2 linked regions of the Anolis sagrei genome follow. The protein of the gene in region 1 interacts with the protein of each later gene in a pairwise test. Links are inferred from orthologs where the notes say so. Each region holds a gene or a part of one and is shown on either strand. Other genes may lie near its edges.

Region 1 (9,428 bases):
CTAGTCAGTGTCTATTAGACATTAACCAGAGTTGCACTGGAGGACCTCGAGATTCCTAGAGAAAAGTAAAATCGCCCAACTGTTATCCAATAGTACGCACCATAATATTATGATAGGAAATATACTTGCTGAAAAGGCTTTGCCAGGTATTTGTTTATTTACATGCTTTTTGATATGAAATTGGAGTGGCCATCTGTTTTAAAACCAATAAATTATATAAGCATAAAAATATATATGCTGTTTTCTAGCCTTTATTAGTCATTCAAGACAACAATATCAGTCACAACTTCCTTGGCAAATGATTAATAAAACTGAAAACTCCTGTCCCAATTCAGTTATGTGCCTTCAGATTACTTGTTGATATATGGCAGTGGTTCTCAACCTGTGGGTCCCCAGGTTTTTTGGCCTACAACTCCCAGAAAACCCAGCCAGTTTACCAGCTGTTAAGATTTCTGGGAGTTGAAGGCCAAAACATCTGGGGACCCACAAATTGAGAACCTCTGATATATGATAATATATGGTTTTTCTTTGTGTGCATATTCTATATTGTAGAATTAATGCAGTTTGACACCGTGTTAACTGCTATGACTCAATGCTATGGAATCCAGGAAGTTGTAACTTCACACGGTATTGAGCCTTCTTTGCCAAAGAATGGAAGTGCTCCATCAAACTACAAATCCTAGGATTGTGTAGCATGGAGCCATGGAAGTTGAAATGGTTTCAAGCTGCATTCATTCTACAGTGTTAGATGCATTCAGTGAACCAGACCTGGGAGAGGAAGCCACCACCCAAAGGCTCATCACAGGAGGCAGGACCATTTTCCCATCAAAACAAAAGCCTTAGGGACATCACAATTGAACTCTTACAGACTCCACATTCACTCCAGCTTTTCTGCATTATTTGATACACAACAAGATTAGTACACAGCAAACAAAATCATTATGCTGGGTTTTGTATTTGATCACACGTAGGACACTTCCCAAGTGACTATGCCTGTGTGATGTATTGGCGAATAATGCATACAGATCTGAGTAGGGTAGCCCTTTGCAACTGACAGATGGTAATTTTGTCAGCACCAATTGTTTTTAAGTGCTGGCCAAGGTCTTTAGGCACTGCACCCAGTGTTCCGGTCACCACTGGGACCATCTTTACTGGCTTGTATCAGAGTCCCTGCAGTTCGGTCTTTAAATCCTCATATCATGTCAGCTTTTCCAGTTGGTTCTCTTCAATTCTGTTGTCACCTGGGACTGCAACATTGATGATCCATACTTCGTTTTATTCCCACAATCGTGAGGTAAGGAGGTAAGGAGTATTGTGCTCCAAAACTCTGCCAGTCTGAATTCCGAGGTTCAAGAGTAGTTTGACATGTTCACTTTCTATAACTTTAGCTTTGTGATTCCACCAGTTCTTTGTCACAGGCAGATGTTATTTGTGGCACAAGTTCCAATAGATCATCTGAGCAACAGTATTATGCCTCTGCTTGTAGTCCGTCTGTGCGATCTTCTTGCAGCAGCTGAGTATGTGATCTATTGTTTCATCTGCTTCCTTGAGGAGTCTACACTTGGGATTTCTAGTTGACTTTTCGATTCTGGCTTTGATGGCATTTGTTCTAATTGCTTGTTCTTGGGCTGCAAGAATCAGGCCTTCCGCCTCCTTTTTCAAAGTTCACATTCACTCCAGCTTCTCTGTATTATTATTTTATTGACACAAAAACACGGCATGTCACAGCAAACAAGATATATATGCTGGGTTTCGTATCACAAAATCACAAGTCAAACACTTCCCAAGCATTATTATTATTATTATTATTACTGCAAGTGTTATTGTTTTTATTGTGTTGTCGAAGGCTTTCTTGGCTGGAATCACTGGGTTTCTGTAAGTTTTTTGGGCTGTATGGTCATGTTTCAGAAGTTTTCTCTCCTGATGTTTCACCTGCATCTATGGCAGGCATCCTCAGAGGTTGTGAGGTCTGTTGGAAACTAGGAAAATGGGGTTTATATATTTGTGGAATGTCCAGGGTGGGAGAAAGGACTGTTTTCTTGCTAATCACCTCTCAACAAAGCATGCTCACAGGCAGTAAGAGGTCACACCCTGAGAACTTCTAGGCCATCAAATGTTAACCAAGGTGGCCAATTGAAACATTCACACCTAGCTCCATAATTATAATCCTCTCACTGTTAGGTGATCTATTACATACTAATCGTGTTTTGTTGGGAGAACTACTTCTAGGAATTGACATAGTGACACAATGAAGCTTTCTGTACCTGAGTAGCAGTATGATATATTCTAGGACTCGAGAGCATCACCCCGTTGTTGCCCCATTTACAGTTATCATCACCATTCCCCCGGTGGCACAGTGGGTTAAACCCCTGTGCTGGCAGGACTGAAGACCGACAGGTTCGAATCCGGGGAGAGGCGGATGAGCTTCCTCTATCAGTTCCAGCTCCTCATGCGGGGACATGAGAGAAGCCTCCCACATGGATGATAAAAACATCAAATCATCCGGGCGTCCCCTGGACAACGTCCTTGCAGACGGCCAATTCTCTCACACCAGAAGCAACTTGCAGTTTCTCAAATCACTCCTGACACGACAAAAAAAAAAACCTAGCTCCAACAGACAAGAGTACTTATTTCCACCCTTGACATTCCACAGATATATGCACCACATTTTCCTAGTTTCCAACAGAGCTCACAACCTCTGAGGATGCCTGCCATAGATGCAGGCGAAATGTCAGGAGAGAATGCTTTTGGATCATGGCCATACATCCCGAAAAACTTACAGCAACCCATTGTTTTTATTATTATGTTCAATGTATTGTCGAAGGCTTTCATGGCCGGAATCACTGGGTTGTTGTAGGTTTTTTCGGGCTATATGGCCATGTTTTAGAGGCATTCTCTCCTGACGTTTTGCCTGCATCTATGGCAAGCATACCTCTGAGGATGCTTGCCATAGATGCAGGTGAAATGTCAGGAGAGAATGCCTCTAGAACAGTGGTTCTCAACCTGGGTTCCCCAGATGTTTTTGGCCTTCAACTCCCAGAAATCCTAACAGCTGGTAAACTGGCTGGGATTTCTGGGAGTTGTAGGCCAGAAACATCTGGGGACCCCAGGTTGAGAACCACTGCTCTAGAACATGGCCATATAGCCCGAAAAAACCTAGAACAACCCACTATTATTGTTTCCTCTCTCTGAAACTACGCAGCTGAAGCCTGTTGATGTTCCCCCTTCCAGAGCTGCTTTTCTAGGGTGTATCTGCACTGTTGAACTAAGTCAGTTTGACACCACTTGAACTGCCATGGCTCCATGCGATGGAATCCTGAGAGTTGTAGTCTTAATAAGGTCTACTCTAGAGCATTCTCTGCCAAATAGTGCAAATTACAATTCCCAGGATTCCATCGGATTGTCCCATGGCAGTTCAAGTGGCATTAAACTGAATTAATTCCACAGTGTAGATGAAACCTCGAAAAGCAAAACAGATGCACCCCTATCTCTTCTATCTCTGCCAGGAGTGGGATGGCACAGAGTTGTTGGCCTTGCATCTACATTGTAGAATGAATGCGATTTGACCCCACTTGAACGGCCATGGCCCTATGTGATGGAATCCTGGGATTTGTAGTTTAGCACCTTCACTCTTTGGCACCCTGTAAAACTAAAACTCCCAAGATTCCCTAACACTGAGCCATGGCAGTTGAAGTGGTGTCCAACCTCATTAGTTTGACAGTGGAGATGCCCGGCTCAGGATCACGCTCCAGCCAAGGCCTCCCTCCTCCCGCCTGACTCACATCTGATACTCGTCGGTGGCCTCCACCAGCTGCCCCCAGGAGTCGAAATCGGTCCCTTTCCTGAAGCTGGCGCCCCAGCGCTGCAGGAGGCTCCGGGCCGCTTCCGACATGGCTCCCAGCGCTGCTAGGGCATCATGTTGGCCCCCGGGGCCGGGAGGCAGGGAGGGCGGGCAGGCAGGGCTCGCTCCGGGCAACCGCCGCGCCCTCCTCACTCACCGACCCAGCCCTGCTGCCATCGCAACCAAACCTGCTCCTCGCCGCCGAGGCAGCTGCAGCCAGCCACCGCCTCTGTGCTGGCCACGCCCCTCCGCATCAGGTTAGGTTGTGCCGGACCCGCCTTCCTTCCTCCTTTTCCCTCCATGGGGGCGCTGTCCATTGCTAACCCAAAGGAAGAGAACATAGAGCTAGACGCTTAGAGTTATGAACTCATTGCATCATTGCATACCCAAGGGGTCCGCGAATAGGTTGTATACGGCTAAGGATTTACAGCCAAACACTCATTGTAGGCCAGGCATGGACAAACTTCGGCCCTCCTCCAGGTGTTTTGGTCTTCAACTCCCACAATTGTGGGAGTTTATTAAGGGTTGATTAAGGTGCCTTCTAATCAAGGTGAAAGAAGAAAGCACAAAAGCTTGGTTGCAGTTATTATTATTATTATTATTAACTTCATTTGTACCCCGCTAGCATCTCCCGAAAGACTCGATGTGGCTTACAAAGGCCAAGGCCTCAAAACACAACATAACAATACTGCATTTTTGTTGACCGCCGTCAACAAAATACAACACCTAAAGCAAATTAAAAACAATTAAAGCAATAGTAAACAACAAGCAATAAACAATACATCAAGACACTATAAAACTGGGCCAGGCCAGAATAATGGGTACAAGATTAAAAGTGCTGATATGACAGGTGATATGTAAGGATTATAGGGCAAGTGCAGTGTGCGGTGTGCAGCAATCTCAGTTCTACTAAAGTGCTTATGGGACTTGGTATTGGAGATTTCCTATTCTGGGAAGGCACATCGGAACAGCCAGGTCTTCAAGTTCTTTCTAAAGACTGCCAATGTAGGGGCCTGTCTTAGGTCTTTTGGGAGGGTGTTCCAGAGTCGGGGGGGCCACCACAGAAAAGGCCCTGTCTCGCGTCCCCACCAAACGCGCCTGTGACGCTGGCGGGATCACAAGCAGGGCCTCTCTGGATGAACGAAGTGAGCGCGTGGGTTCGTAAACGGAGATACGGTCACGCAGGTAGGCTGGTCCCAAACCGTTTAGGGCTTTGTAGGTAAGCACCTGCACCTTAAATTGGGCTCGGAAAATAAACGGCAGCCAGTGGAGCTCCTTGAACAGGAGGGTTAAACATTAAAAAAACCATGATTGGTCAAAAATGATTGACAACTGGGAAATAGAGGGAGAAAACGTGGAGGCAGTGACAAACTTTGTATACACAAAATTTGTATACACACACACACACACATACTTTTCTGAATTTTATGGGACGGTGACAAAAATTACGCCTTTCTCAAGGCATTGGTTCTCGTGGACTTAGATGCCCCTAAGGCAGGGAAAGGCCTTCAGCCGCCATTGCTAGACCGGGCAACTCGCCTGGCTGGTTGCTTACCAAATGAAGCACTTCCGCCCTCTTGCCAGGGCACTGAAGATCACGTGATCCGCTGGGACTCCCGGGGAGCCTACGAGAGGGGTCGTCCTGCTGCCGAAGTTACGCCGCCGGCCCTTTCCTCGTGAACCATATTTGGATCTGCTTCCTCGGGGCTTCTCTCGGGTGGGGAATCTCCTACGTCACAGGTGAGTGACAGGCAGGTTTGTCATATTTTTTTCTCCCAACTGAAATAGTTTTGTCATAGGTTTCACCAGGAAAGGGTTGAAATGCAGAGCAAGTATAGTGTAGTGCAAACTTGGGCCCTCCAGGTGCTTTGGACTTCAACTCCCATCATTCCTAACAGCCTCAGGCCCCTTCCTTTCCCCCCTCAACCGCTTAAGCGGCTGAGGGGGGAAAGGAAGGGGCCTGAGGCTGTTAGGAATGGTGGGAGTTGAAATCCAAAGCACCTGGAGGGCCCAAGTTTGCCCATACCTGCTGTAGTGTTTTGTTTTTGTAAATATTTACTGCATAGGGCTCTTTTTTGTGCAGCTTCCAAACGACAGGCAAAGTTGAGCAGATAGTAATTCATGGCCTGCAGAACTCCAGCCTTCTCAATAACTGACTTCATTTCCCAGAATCCTTGAACGTTGCTCCAGGCGGCTGAGGCTTCTGGGAGTTGAAGTCCAAACAGCTTGGCCCAACAAGGGTTCTGTGGAGTCCTGTACCATAGAGAGGTGAGAGAGAACGCTCTACTTCCGTGTTTTCTTCCTAGCGGCCTCCACCCCCTCGACCGGAAGTGGTCGTCGTGGTTTCGGCTCCGGCAGGAAGTGCTCCCTGGAGACAGAAGGTAAATAGAGGCGACAGTTTCTGGGAACGTGGCTGACAATAAGGGCGAGGCGCTTTGGCTGGAAGCCTGCGAGGCTCCGTTGTTTCATACTTATGGGGGTCCAAAGGAGAACCCATCGTAGGGTTTGCTTGAGCAGACTTGTTCAGAGGAGACTTGCCATTGCCTTCCTCTGAGGCTGAGAGAGTGTGACTTGCCCAAAATGGGTTTCATGGCCAAGCAGGGATTTGAACCCTGGTTTCCAGAGTCTAGGCTGGGGAAATAGCCAGTTTATGTAGTGCAGTAGTTCCCAATCTTTGGTCTTGCAGTTGTTTTGAACTTCAACTCCTAGAAATCATAGCCAGTTTGCCAGCTGTTAGGAATTGTGGAAGCTGAAGTCCAAAACACCAAAGGTTGGGAACCACAGAGTACTGGGAAGGATGGTGTTTGAAGGGGGGAGGGGGGCTGCACGGTAGAATTAATGCTGTTTGACTCCACATTGACCACTATAGCTCAATGCTATGGGTTCACAGGAGTTGTAATTACACAAGGTCGTTATCCTTTTCTACCCAAGAGTGTGGGTGCCCAAACTCAGGGGCGGCTCAACCCATTACGCAAAGTAAGCATTTGCAGTATAGTTTATTTTGCCCAGGGGCACTCTTGAGGCACTCTTGGGGGAAAATAGACCTTGACATATGTGAGTTGTAGTTACTGGAATGTACTGTATAGTTCACCTAAAATCAAAGAGCATTCTGAACTCCACCAATGATGGAATTGAACCAAATATGGCACACAGAACTCCCATGACGAACAGAAAATATATATCAGTGATTGGTTTGGGGGGGGGGGCAAAATACCGTTTGCTTACCATTGAAAATTACCTAGGGCCGCCTCTGCCCAAACTACAACTTTCAGGATTCCAAAGCATTGCGCCATTTCCATTGAAGCGGTGTCAATCAGTATTATTTCTGACTTGGTTTCCTGCTTGTTTGCAGCATCAGTGAGGAAACACCTATGCCTCATAGACCTTACTATATGATGACGATGTGGTTGTTACTCCCCCTCCCTTGAGTGCCTATGGCAGAAAAGGTGGGGTATAAATAAAATAAAACTATATTTACTTGTATCCTGATTTATCTTTTTTTTAAAAAACCCTGTGTATTCCACACCTGGAATACTGTGTCCAATTCTGGGCACTGCAGTTGAAGGGAAATGTTGACAAGCTGGAATGTGTCTAGAGGAGGGTGACTAAAATGATTGAGGCTCTGGAGAACAAACCCTTTGAGGAGCGGCTCAAAGAGTTGGGCATGTTTAGCCTGGAGAAGACAAAGAGGGCTGAGAGGAGACATGATGGCCACGTATCAAGATGTGAAGGGAAGTCATAGGGAGGAGGAAGCGGTCTTGTTTTCTGCTGCCTTGGAGACTAGGACACAGAACCATGGCTTCAAACTACAGGAAAGGAGATTCTACATGAACATTAGGAAGAACTTCCTAACTGTGAAAGCTGTTCAGCAGTAGAACCCTCTGCCCTGAAGTGTGTTGGAGGCGCCTTCTTTGGAGGCTTTTAAACAGAGGCTGGATGACCATCTGTTGGGTGTGTCTTGAATGTGATTTCCCTGCTTCTTGGCAAGGGGTTGGACTGGATGGCCCACAAGGTCTCTTTCAATTCTATGATTCTATAATTTTTTTAGACCTGGATGCATACTGCATTCAGATAAGATGCGAGCTGATATAAACAGAGTATACACCTGATTCTTACGTTTTGAAAATACTGCGCTTTAACTCATCACAGCATGGAAGGATCAGTTCAAATGCCACTTTTTTAAAAAAAAAAAACTAATATTGCACAGTGAGGCATCTTGGAAGTATCAAACGACCATTCTCAAAAAATGGCCCTCGAGGTCTCTCCCAACTTTATGATTCTATGAAAAGACCCAAAACAACTAACACTAAAAACAATACAATGTATAATTTAAAACATACAAACATTAAAATGCGATTCAATATTGAAATGATTAAAATCAAACAGAACCATTAAAAACCTATTCACATAGCTAAAATGACACCCCTGGTTCGCTCTTTAAAAACCTTCTTCTGTAAAGCTTGCTGAAAAGAAAGGTTTTAGCCAATAGCTTGAGCCTTCCTTTTCTGGAAACCCGAAGTGCTCCAAAATTGTCCACCTGAATGGTAGATGGTGATTTAGTGTATACAAACTGTTTCATGGACAAAAGTATTTAAAATACTGTACAGGTTATGTGTATAAGGTGTGTATGAATTTTGTTTAGGCTCTGTTGCCACCTCCAAGATATCTCCTTATAGATATGGAGATAGTCAAACATCTGGGGGGAAAGTCCACTTCTGGCATTCTCAAGCCTTTTGAATAAGGGATTCTCATCATATACATGTGGAAGACTAATTCAATGGAAACTGTTATTCTCAGGGATGTATAGAGTTCCTGAGCATGTACAGAGCATTTTTAAAGGCAGGTATTTGTTTTTAAGTGAAATCTATTGCTGTGTGAAAGAGTTAGCTCTCCCTTCTTTCCGGCATATAAACTGGCTGATGTTTGGGTGGATATGAAATCTAGTATGGAAAACACTCGGTCCAGTGTCACAATGTGTGGAGATTACGATGAGATATGATATAACAAAATCCATTTTAAAATAAATGTAATGCTCTGATTAGAACTGTGGCAAGCAGTGCTCCATGAGCCCTGCCACATTGCAGAGGATGGATCATCATCTCCCTTCTTATGCTGTATAGAGAATATTTGGGGAGAAATTAGGGTAGGAGATGTACCTCAGGAATCCATGTGCAGAGAATTATAGACCTCATATACTACAGCTTATATAGTTTTCTTGTCATTAGTTTACAGAACTGGACCCCACAATATATTCTAGCATCTTTTGTGTATAATACTCATTCAGTTAATATAGTTCCTCTTCAAAATGATTCCTCAAACTAGCTCATTGAGTCACTAATGCTGAAGTTTTTTTACAAGCTGATATTCAATTGATTAGAAAAATGCTTTTCATTTTAAAACACTTTACGTATTGAATCACATAAGTAGCTACAACAAACAGTTCAAAAACATTTCTGGATGCATGTACAGTTGTCCTTCTGCATTCATATAACTCTCAGGGTGACAGCTCTTGATTATGTCCTTTACAAATGGAAAAGATTTCAGTATTGCCGTTATTAATAAAATAAGCCTGTGCAGTAGATTATGC
Region 2 (9,369 bases), about 29 Mb from region 1:
ATTTCAGAATGGAGCTGGAATGGATGTCCCTATGGCCCCAGTCCAATGAAATGCCCCATTTGGTGCCTGAGGTTTAAGCAACTGAGCCACAAGTATGAACACAGGGCCTCATCTCCACAGGCTCCACTCACCTCTTGGTTGATGGTTGATCCTAAGCCCAATGTGTTGTTCTTCACTTGAACCCGGATGTGCTCCGTGTTGCCTTGCTCCTGAGCTCCAAGTCCCTAGCAAAAACAGAATTGGATAACTGCTTATTTTCAGGTAGCGTAGCTTGTTGCCTGTCAATATGGCGCCTTAATTGTCCTTCTCGTGATATATATATATATATATATTAAAAAATAAGTATGTAACAAAAACTAATTTCAAATGCTTGACCACACATTTCAGGAGAAGAACAGCAAAATCGAATTACGCAGCCAAACAAAAATTATCTTGGTGCCTTCGTTTTTAGGCCTGTTCCTGGAGTTATTTGGCGTGCTGATTTTATTTATTTATTTACAGTATTTTTATACTGCTGCTGTCAGCCTTCCGGCGACTCGAGGCGGTTTGCAAGGCAAAATTCAATACCACCAAAAACAGAGTTACAATATAAAAATTTTAACATCAATAAAATCATAACAGCTGTAATAAAACATAATTCAATAAATAACCATTAAAACAATGTCCAATCCATCCTGTAGTTGATTCCGTTCTTATGTCCGTTACTCAGTATTCGCAAATGCCTGCTCAAATAGCCATGTCTTGAGTTTTTTCTGAAATACTAAAAGTGAAGAAGCCGATCTAATCTCAATAGTAAGGGCGTTCCATAGCCAAGGAGCCACCACTAAGAAGGCCCTGTCTCTCGCCCCTGTCAGCCATGCTTGTGACGATGGTGGGACCGAGAGCAGGGCCTCTCCAGATGATCTTAAGGCCCTCGAAGGTTCATAAGGGGAGATGCGTTCGGACAGGTAAGTTGGGTCAAAACCATTTAGGGCTTTATAGGCCAAGGCCAGCACTTTGAATTGTGCCCGGTAGCAGACTGGCAGCCAGTGGAGCTGGTGCAACGGGGGGGTTGTATGCTCCCTGAGAGTCGCTCCAGTTAGCAACCTGGCTGCCGTCCGTTGGACCAGATGAAGCTTCCGGACAGTCTTCAAAGGCAATCCCACGTAGAGAGTGTTACAGTAGTCCATACGGAATGTAACAAGAGCGTGGACCACCATGGCCAAGTCAGACTTCCCGGAAAACTGCATTGGATAGACTGCATCAGCTCTAGTTTCTAAGATATGGTTTTCTATGAAGGAACAGATGGTGACTAATAGATGCCACGTGTTCTATATCTCAAAAACTAGAGCCGATAGGTGGAAACTTGGGATAAACAGGTCAAAACTAACTGTTTGAGGAGTCAGCAGATTGGTGAAAGTGAGGACTAATAATCAAACAAATCAGCAAACTACTGGATAACTGTAGGAAAAGCATGGAGTGCTATCTATCTGTCATATTTTGAAGAGACCATCTGGCCCAGCACAGGGGCAAGCTGAAAGTGCATGCATCTCACTTGGAGCCACCAAACTGCCTTTGCTCAGCAGTCAAGTCTTGGTGGATAAGGCAAGGTACAAACACAGCTCACGTGCTAGGAAACAAGTGCTAGGAAACAACACTTAACCAGTCTTCCTTGCCAGCTTCAAGACTCAGACATGATTCCAGACTGCACTCTTTATCTGGTTTGTCTCCCAGGCTTCTGACTGATTTTCTCAGCTTCTTGATGCAGGATTGTTAATTACTATACATACAATGTGTGTCCATAGAGAGTGGCACTGCATGCACAACATTTCTTCCACAAGCTTGAACTGAACATGGACATTCATCCCAAAAGGGGATGTATGCATAATTAAAACACTAACAAGATTCTGTTCTTTGATTTTTATCTACCCCGTGGGAAACCAATTAGCAGAAAATGTCCTTGTTTGTTTGTCAATCTGCAAAAAGGGGGGCTATTTTGGGACATTCAGGTTGAATAGGATTTTTGGAACTCAAGACACTGACATTCCTACTATCTTTGAACTGCTAAGGTCTTGTTGTGTAAGGTCTTGCTATTCATCTTGCTATTTGTTGATTTATTTAAAACATTTACATTCCACCCTTATCTCTCCGAAGGGGATTCAGGGCGGCGCACAGCATATAAACGGCAAACATGCAATGCCGGGACAAGAATTTATATACGCATACATAAACATTAAAAACATGTATCTCAATATTGAAATACACAATTTAAAACCGTCCTGGTCATCAGTGTCAAATCTAATAGGCCTGGTAATCTTTCCTATTGCTACTTTATTGCCCTGTCCCGAATCTATGTACCTTGCCTTTCGACCATCCCATTTTTTCCAACATCTTCTGGCCAAATTTCGATTCATCTTTGCTCCAAGCACTATTCCGAGGATCCACAGACCATTTTTGCTTGCGACGTGCTACAAGAGAGAGAAAAGGTTACATGACCTGCACATAGATAGGCAACTAAGTTCAAATCTGGCTGTTCCTTCCTGCCATTGTTTACTGCTCTGAGGAACCTTAAAGAACTCAAATGCACTGGGAAAGGAATCAAATGACTGTGACCTATTTCCATTCTGACAATCCTAATGAAAGGTGCAGTAGCCCTCTCTCGTTTCCACTCTGGCAATCCTAATGAAAGGTGCAGTAGCCCTCTCCTGTTTCCACTCTGGCAATCCTAATTAAAGTAGTGGCCCTCTCCAGTTTCCACTCTGGCTACCCTAATTAAAGTTGCAGGAAGCCTGTCCACTTTGCCTAGTAGCTCCATGCTTGGCAATGATAGCCAGGCAACAAAGAGGACTGAAAAATCTCATCACAAGTGCAAAGAAGCCAGAATGGATGTCCAAAGAACTTCTAACTGTGCTAAGACTCAAAAGAGACATGCACAAGAAGTAGAAAAAGGGAGAAATCACCAAAGAAGAATTCAAACAAATAGTCAACTCTTGTAGGGAAAAGGTTCACAAGGCTAAAGCACAAAATGAGCTTAGGTTTTGTTTTGTGGCGGCAAAAAAAGCCAATGGGATTTTGGCCTGCATCACTAGGAGCATAGTGTCTAGATCCAGGGAAGTCATGCTACCCATGCTCTATTCTGTTTTGGTTAGACCACACCTGCAATATTGTGTCCGGTTCTGGGCATCACAATTGATGAGAGATATTGACAAGCTGGAATGTGTCCAGAGAAGGGCAACTAAAATGATCAAGGGTCTGGAGAACAAGCCCTATGAGGAGCGGGTTAAAGAGCTGGGCATTGTGTCCAATTCTGGGCACCACAATTGAAGGGAGATCTTGACAAGCTGGAAAGTGTTCAGAGGAGGGCGACTAAAATGATCAAGGGTCTGGAGAACAAGCCCTATGAGGAGCGGGTTAAAGAGCTGGGCATGTTTAGCCTGAAGAAGAGAAGGCTGAGAGGAGATATGATAGCCATGTATAAATATGTGAGAGGAAGTCATGGGGAGGAGGGAGCAAGCTGTTCAGCCGTGGAACTCTCTGCCCCGGAGTGTGGTGGAGTCTCCTTCTTTGGAAGCTTTTAAGCAGAAGCTGGATGGCCATCTGTCAGGGGTGCTTTGAATGCAATTATCCTGCTTTTTGGTAGGGGGTTGGACTGGATGGCCCATGAGGTCTCTTCCAACTCTAGGAGGGAGGAGGCTTGTTTTCTGCTGTCCTGGAGACTAGGACACAAAGGAACAATGTCTTCAAACTACAGGAAAGGAGATTCCACCTGAACATGAGGAAGAACTTCCTGACTGTGAGAGCTGTTCAGCAGTGGAACTCTCTGCCTCGGAGTGTGGTGGACACCCCTTCTTTGGAGGCTTTTAAACAGAAGCTAGATGGCTATCTGTTGTGGGTGTTTTGACTGTGCTTTTCCTGTATGGCAGAATGGAGTTAGACTGGATGTCCCATTTGGCCCCTTCCAACTCTATAATCCTTTGATTCTATGATCCTATGAGTCAGCCCAGATTTGCAGTTTACCTCCTTCTAAAGAGAGAGCAGCCAAGGGTGCCATCCCTTCCCTCTGAAGGTTAGAAAAACCCCATCCCATTCCTTCCCATCGGTTCAAAACTCACGCTCTGCCAGCATCGCCATCTTGGGAAGGGAGCGCTCCTGGGGTCCTTTCTCTCTCGCCGGCGCGCCGTGACCTTCCCTGCCGCCATCTTGCTAAGGTCTTAGGAGTCTAATTCAAACGCCGGGCACAAAGGAAGCCTCGCGAGGGAGAAAGAACAGGGTTAGGAAGAAGCGTGTAAGCTGAGACGCCGGGGAGAGATTTAAAAGAGGAATTGGGATGCGTTATTTGGTTTATAGAGTTGGGAAAAATCTAACCGGCACTACGTTAGTCGGCTAAATTGCAATTCCCCACCCGTCTTAGTAAGCTTAGGCGATAGAGTGAGAGTTGGTGGAAACTTTTGGGAGTTCGCCCTCTGTAGGACAGGAATGGTATTGCCTTCAAAAGTTTGTCCCAGAAGAATATATAGTATACACAAGGTTCTTGTGGGTTTTTTGGGGCTATATGGCCATGTTCTAGAGGCATTCTCTCCTGACGTTTCGCCTGCATCTATGGCAAGCATCCTCAGAGGTAGTGAGGTCTGTTGGAACTAGGAAAAAGGGTTTATATACCTGTGGAATGACCAGGATGGGACAAAGAACTCTTGTCTGCTGGAGCTAGGTGTGAATGTTTCAACTGACCACCTTGATTAGCATTTGTTGGCCTGGCAGGGCCTGGGGCAATCTTTTGTTGAGAGGTGATTAGATGTCCCAGATTGTTTCCCCTCTGTTTTTTTTTTTGCTGTTGTAATTTTAGAGTTTTTAATACAGTTTAGAGTTGGACTGGATGTCCCATTTGGTCTCTTCCAACTCTATAATCCTTTGATTCTATGATCCTATTAGTCAGCCCAGATTTGTAGTTTATCTCCTTCTAAAGAGAGAGCAGGAAAGAGTGCAATCACTTCCCTCTATAGCAAAGCACCTGATGAACCAACCTGGACACCGCATATTATTTGAGAACACAGAAATGCTGGACCACTCTCACAACCACCACGTCAGGCGACACAGAGAAGCCATTGAAATCCACAAGAAGCATGTGGACAGTTTCAACAGAAGGGAGGAAAACATGAAAATGAACAAAATCTGGCTACCAGTATTAAAAAAACTCTAAAATTAAAACAGCAGAGGGAAAACAATCAGGCACAGCTAATCACCTCTCAACAAAAGATTGCTCCAGGCACTGCCAGGCTATCAAATCAAGGTGGTCAGTTGAAACATTCACACCTAGCTCCAGACAAGAGTCCTTTGTCCCACCCTGGTCATTCCACAGATATATAAACCCTTTTTCCTAGTTCCAACAGACCTCACTACCTCTGAGGATGCTTGCCATAGATGCAGGCGAAACGTCAGGAGAAATGCCTCTAGAACATGGCCATATAGCCCGAAAAAAACCTACAACAACCCAATGTATACACCATTTAAAGACCTAAGAGTAAGCTAGTGATGATGATCCAATACAACAGCCAACAGAGTGTCTGCCGTGGATTCATCTTGTTGTGTTTCAAATAATAATAATGTTTGCCTTATATGTGTACTGTAATCCACTCTGAAATAAAGTGGAATATAAATAAAGTTTATTATTATTTTCCCTTATTTCACTTAGCAAAATGTATTTTGTAGTTGTGTGCCTTTAAATCATTTCTGACTTCTGAAGACTCTAAGGTACACAAACTGGCAACCTTTGAACTGGAATATATGGTGGTGTGGACTCAGATAACCCAGTTCAAAGCAAATATTGTGGGATTTTCTGCCTTGATATTCTGAGATATAGGGCTGTGTGGAAGGGCCCTGGGTTATCTGAGTCCACACTGTCATATAGCCCAGTTCAAAGCAGAAAATGTGGGATTTTGTTCAGCTGCGTGCAAGGGATCTGTGTGCGATCAGGGTGATTTGCAGGCCTTAGATCAGAGAGAAGTGCTGGAGACAGAGGTTGTCTGGGATTCCAATATCCATTCCATTTTTCATGGGAATTGGCTTTCAGAGGAAGATTCAGCAGATGGGGAATTTTCCCGTGATATCAGATTAGGCCTCTGCATGGAGGGAGTGAAGGATAGATTAATTTGGTGTTCAGAAAGACTCCGTGAGAAATCCATGAAATGCAGGTGTCAAAGAGATGACCTCATGGCTTCTCGGTCAGGTTTGTGCTTAAATTAAGTGATGTTTACTTGGTATCTCCAGAGCATACAACATTGCCATAGAATCAAGTTCCTGTTTCAGTTCTCAAGTTCATGAATCGAGTCTCTTGTATTTGCCTATGTTCCTGATAGAGTTTTGCTTTGGAAAATTTCCTGTCTTCTTGCTTATGGATTTATGCCTATGCTCTTGACTTCCTGGATTTCATGTAATTGGCTATTTTGGACAATTGATCTTTGTCCATACGAACTATTGCTATTTCATAGCTACTTTTATACTGTTTTTTGGGAGATGCCTTTTTCCGTTTTCTATATGCTTTCTGTAAATAAACTGCTGTAGTAAGTTACCGTGTTTCCTCCAAAATAAGACAGTCTCTTATATTTATTTCTCCTCAAGAAGACATAGTATGGCTTATGTTCAGGGGATATCTTCTTTTTTTATTAAGTACTAGCTGTCCCCTGCCACGCGTTGCTGTGGCCCAGTCTGGTGATCTGGAGATGAAGTAATGAGAATGTGTTGGTTTCTAATATATGTAATGTCTTTATGCTTGAGGGTAAACAGTATTTCTTGTTGTTTCTTTGCCAGTGTTGATGTGGAGATTGTCTGGTTTGCCTACTCTGGAACATGTAACATATCATTGTCCTTCTTTAGGGGTCCCTTTGAAATCTTTGATACTGCATCTGTCATATACATATATGTGTGTGCATATGAATGGCTGGATGGCCCTTTGTCAGGAGGGCTTTGTTTTGTTGCCCTGGTGAAGGGAGCTGGACTGGGTGGCCTTAAGGCAGCATTTCTCAACCTGGGAAGTCAATACACCAAGGGGGGTGTCAATACACCAGGGGGGTATCAGAAGGGTCACCAAAGACCACCAGGAAACACAGTATTTCCTGTTGGTCATGGGGGTTTTGTGTAGGATGTTTGGCCCAATTCCATCGTTGGTGAGGTTCGGAATGCTTCTTGATTGTAGGTGAACTATAAATCCCAGTAACTACAACTCCCAAATGTCAAGGTCTATTTCCCCCAAACTCCATCTGTGTTTATATTTGGGCATATTGAATATTCATGCCAAATTTGGTCCAGATCCATCATTGTTTGAGTCCACAGTGCTCTCTGGATATAGGTGGACTACAACTCCCAAACTCAAGGTCAATGCCCTCCAAACCTTTCCAGTATTTTCTGTTGGTCATGGAAGTTCTGTGTGCCAAGTTTGGTTCAATTCCATTGTTGGTGGAGTTCAGAATGCTCTTTGATTGTAGGTGAGCTATAAATCCCAGCAACTACAACTCCCAAATGACAAAATCATAATTTTTTGATTGATGGTCACTCCTTGTGTAGTGAGACATTTTGTTGCCAAATTTGGTAGGTACTGGCCCAGCTGTTCTTTTGTTTTTAAGCCACTCATTACGACATGAGCATTTATATATATATAGATGGTACAACAATCTGCATTTATGGGATGATCTCTCAGGGCTCAGTAGGAGACTCCTTGCTGAAGCTTTTTCCCTATTTATGGTATTTGTGTGGGGTGAGAGAGTCCCACAGACTGTTGCTGGTCAGTGCTGTGGAGCAGCAGCTTTACCGGTGGATTGTTGTAGGTTTTTTCAGGCTATATGGCCATGATCTAGAGGCATTCTCTCCTGACGTTTTGCCTGCATCTATGGCAAGCATCCTCAGAGGTAGTGAGCTTTACCAGTGTTTGTGTGGGGTGAGAGAGACCCACAGACTGCTGCTGCTTGGTGCTGGGGGAGAAAGTAAAACAGTAGCCACAGCTTTACTTCTTTCTCCTGAGCACACACAATATCCAAAGGAGAGCGTCCTGCTCCCCATTTCACTGAGGAGACTTTTACTTTCACTTCCTATGTCTCCTTCTATGTCTCAGCTTGCAGCACGCATAGAATGACAAGGACTTGACAGTGGGAGCCGACCTTGTATGCTGCATAGCCATGTCTATCACTATGTCTTATTTTATGGGTTTGTCTTATTTTCAGGGAAACAGGGTAGTTACTACTGGACTCTGTGTGGGGCTGGGGCTTTAGTACAGCTAGTAAATCACCAGCAATGATAAGATCTTCCAACTGAAAGGTTGCCAGTTTGAAGCCCCAGGTCGGCGTTAGCTGCTGACTGTCAGCCCAGCCTACTGTTGACCTAAGCAGTTCAAAAACAGCTTGAGCTCTAATTAGAGGAATTAAGTACTGCTAAAACAAGTGGGGGAGGTATTTTACGACACCATAAAGAAAACGTTCAGAAAATTCCCAGTGACCAAAAGGAAGGAGGAAGTCCTGATGGCTCCTCATCAGAGAGGATGGAGCCCCCGGTGGCACAGTGGGTTAAACCCCTGTGCCGGCAGGACTGAAGACTGACAGGTCGCAGGTTCAAATCTGGGAAGAGGCGGATGAGCTCCCTCTATCAGCTCCAGCTCCTCATGCGGGGACATGAGAGAAGCCTCCCACAAGGATGGTAAAAACATCAAATCATCCAGGCGTCCCCTGGGCAACGTCCTTGCAGACGGCCAATTCTCTCACACCAGGAGTCACTCCTGATACGACAAAAAAATTTTTTTAGAGAGGATGGAGCGACAGCACCCCCCTGTGGCTGGATTCGATAACAACCTCCAAGGTGCCAAAAAACCATCTTGAGCTCTAATTAGAGAAATTAAGTACCACTAAAACAAGTGGGGGAGGTATTTTACGACACTATAAAGAAAGCATTCAGAAAATTCCCAGTGACCAAAAGGAAGGAGGAAGTCCTGATGGCTCCTCATCAGAGAGGATGGAGTGAAAACACCTCCCTGTGGCTGGATTTGAGCACAACCTCTAAGGCGCCAAAAAATCTGGACGTCAACACAACATACCTCCTTTCTGTTCTGTCTGTCTCTGTCCTGTCTATCCAAAATGGCATTGTATGTTTGCAGTGTAGGTATACTGTATTTATTTATTTATCATGTCAGGAGCAACCAGACAGTTGTATTACATTTTTAAGAAAACAAACAAACAGACAAAACACAAAGTTTGCAATGGAGGTCCTCCATTGTGCATGTTGCATTGCAGCAGGTGGTCAGTGATTTGCTCTTCTCCACACTCACAGGTATACTGTGATCTGCCCTGAGTTCCCTTCGGGAGATAGGGCAGGATATAAATACAGTGTTGTTGTTGTTGTTGTTGTTGTTGT

The links.
Region 2: the proteins of AIDA (region 1) and PINX1 interact in binary tests that used the Homo sapiens proteins (3 or more experiments, as listed by UniProt). The link is inferred for Anolis sagrei from reciprocal best matches to the Homo sapiens genes AIDA and PINX1.

What each region holds. Positions count from the first base shown.
Region 1 is NC_090021.1:37,978,218-37,987,645, forward strand, and holds the start of AIDA (axin interactor, dorsalization-associated protein), read right to left. Parts: upstream 4,060-9,428; 5' UTR 3,893-4,059; coding exon 3,783-3,892; intron 1-3,782. UniProt on the Homo sapiens protein: Acts as a ventralizing factor during embryogenesis. Inhibits axin-mediated JNK activation by binding axin and disrupting axin homodimerization. This in turn antagonizes a Wnt/beta-catenin-independent dorsalization pathway activated by AXIN/JNK-signaling.
Region 2 is NC_090021.1:9,240,534-9,249,902, forward strand, and holds the start of PINX1 (PIN2/TERF1-interacting telomerase inhibitor 1), read right to left. Parts: upstream 4,161-9,369; 5' UTR 4,111-4,160; coding exon 4,092-4,110; intron 2,448-4,091; coding exon 2,338-2,447; intron 225-2,337; coding exon 132-224; intron 1-131. UniProt on the Homo sapiens protein: Microtubule-binding protein essential for faithful chromosome segregation. Mediates TRF1 and TERT accumulation in nucleolus and enhances TRF1 binding to telomeres. Inhibits telomerase activity. May inhibit cell proliferation and act as tumor suppressor.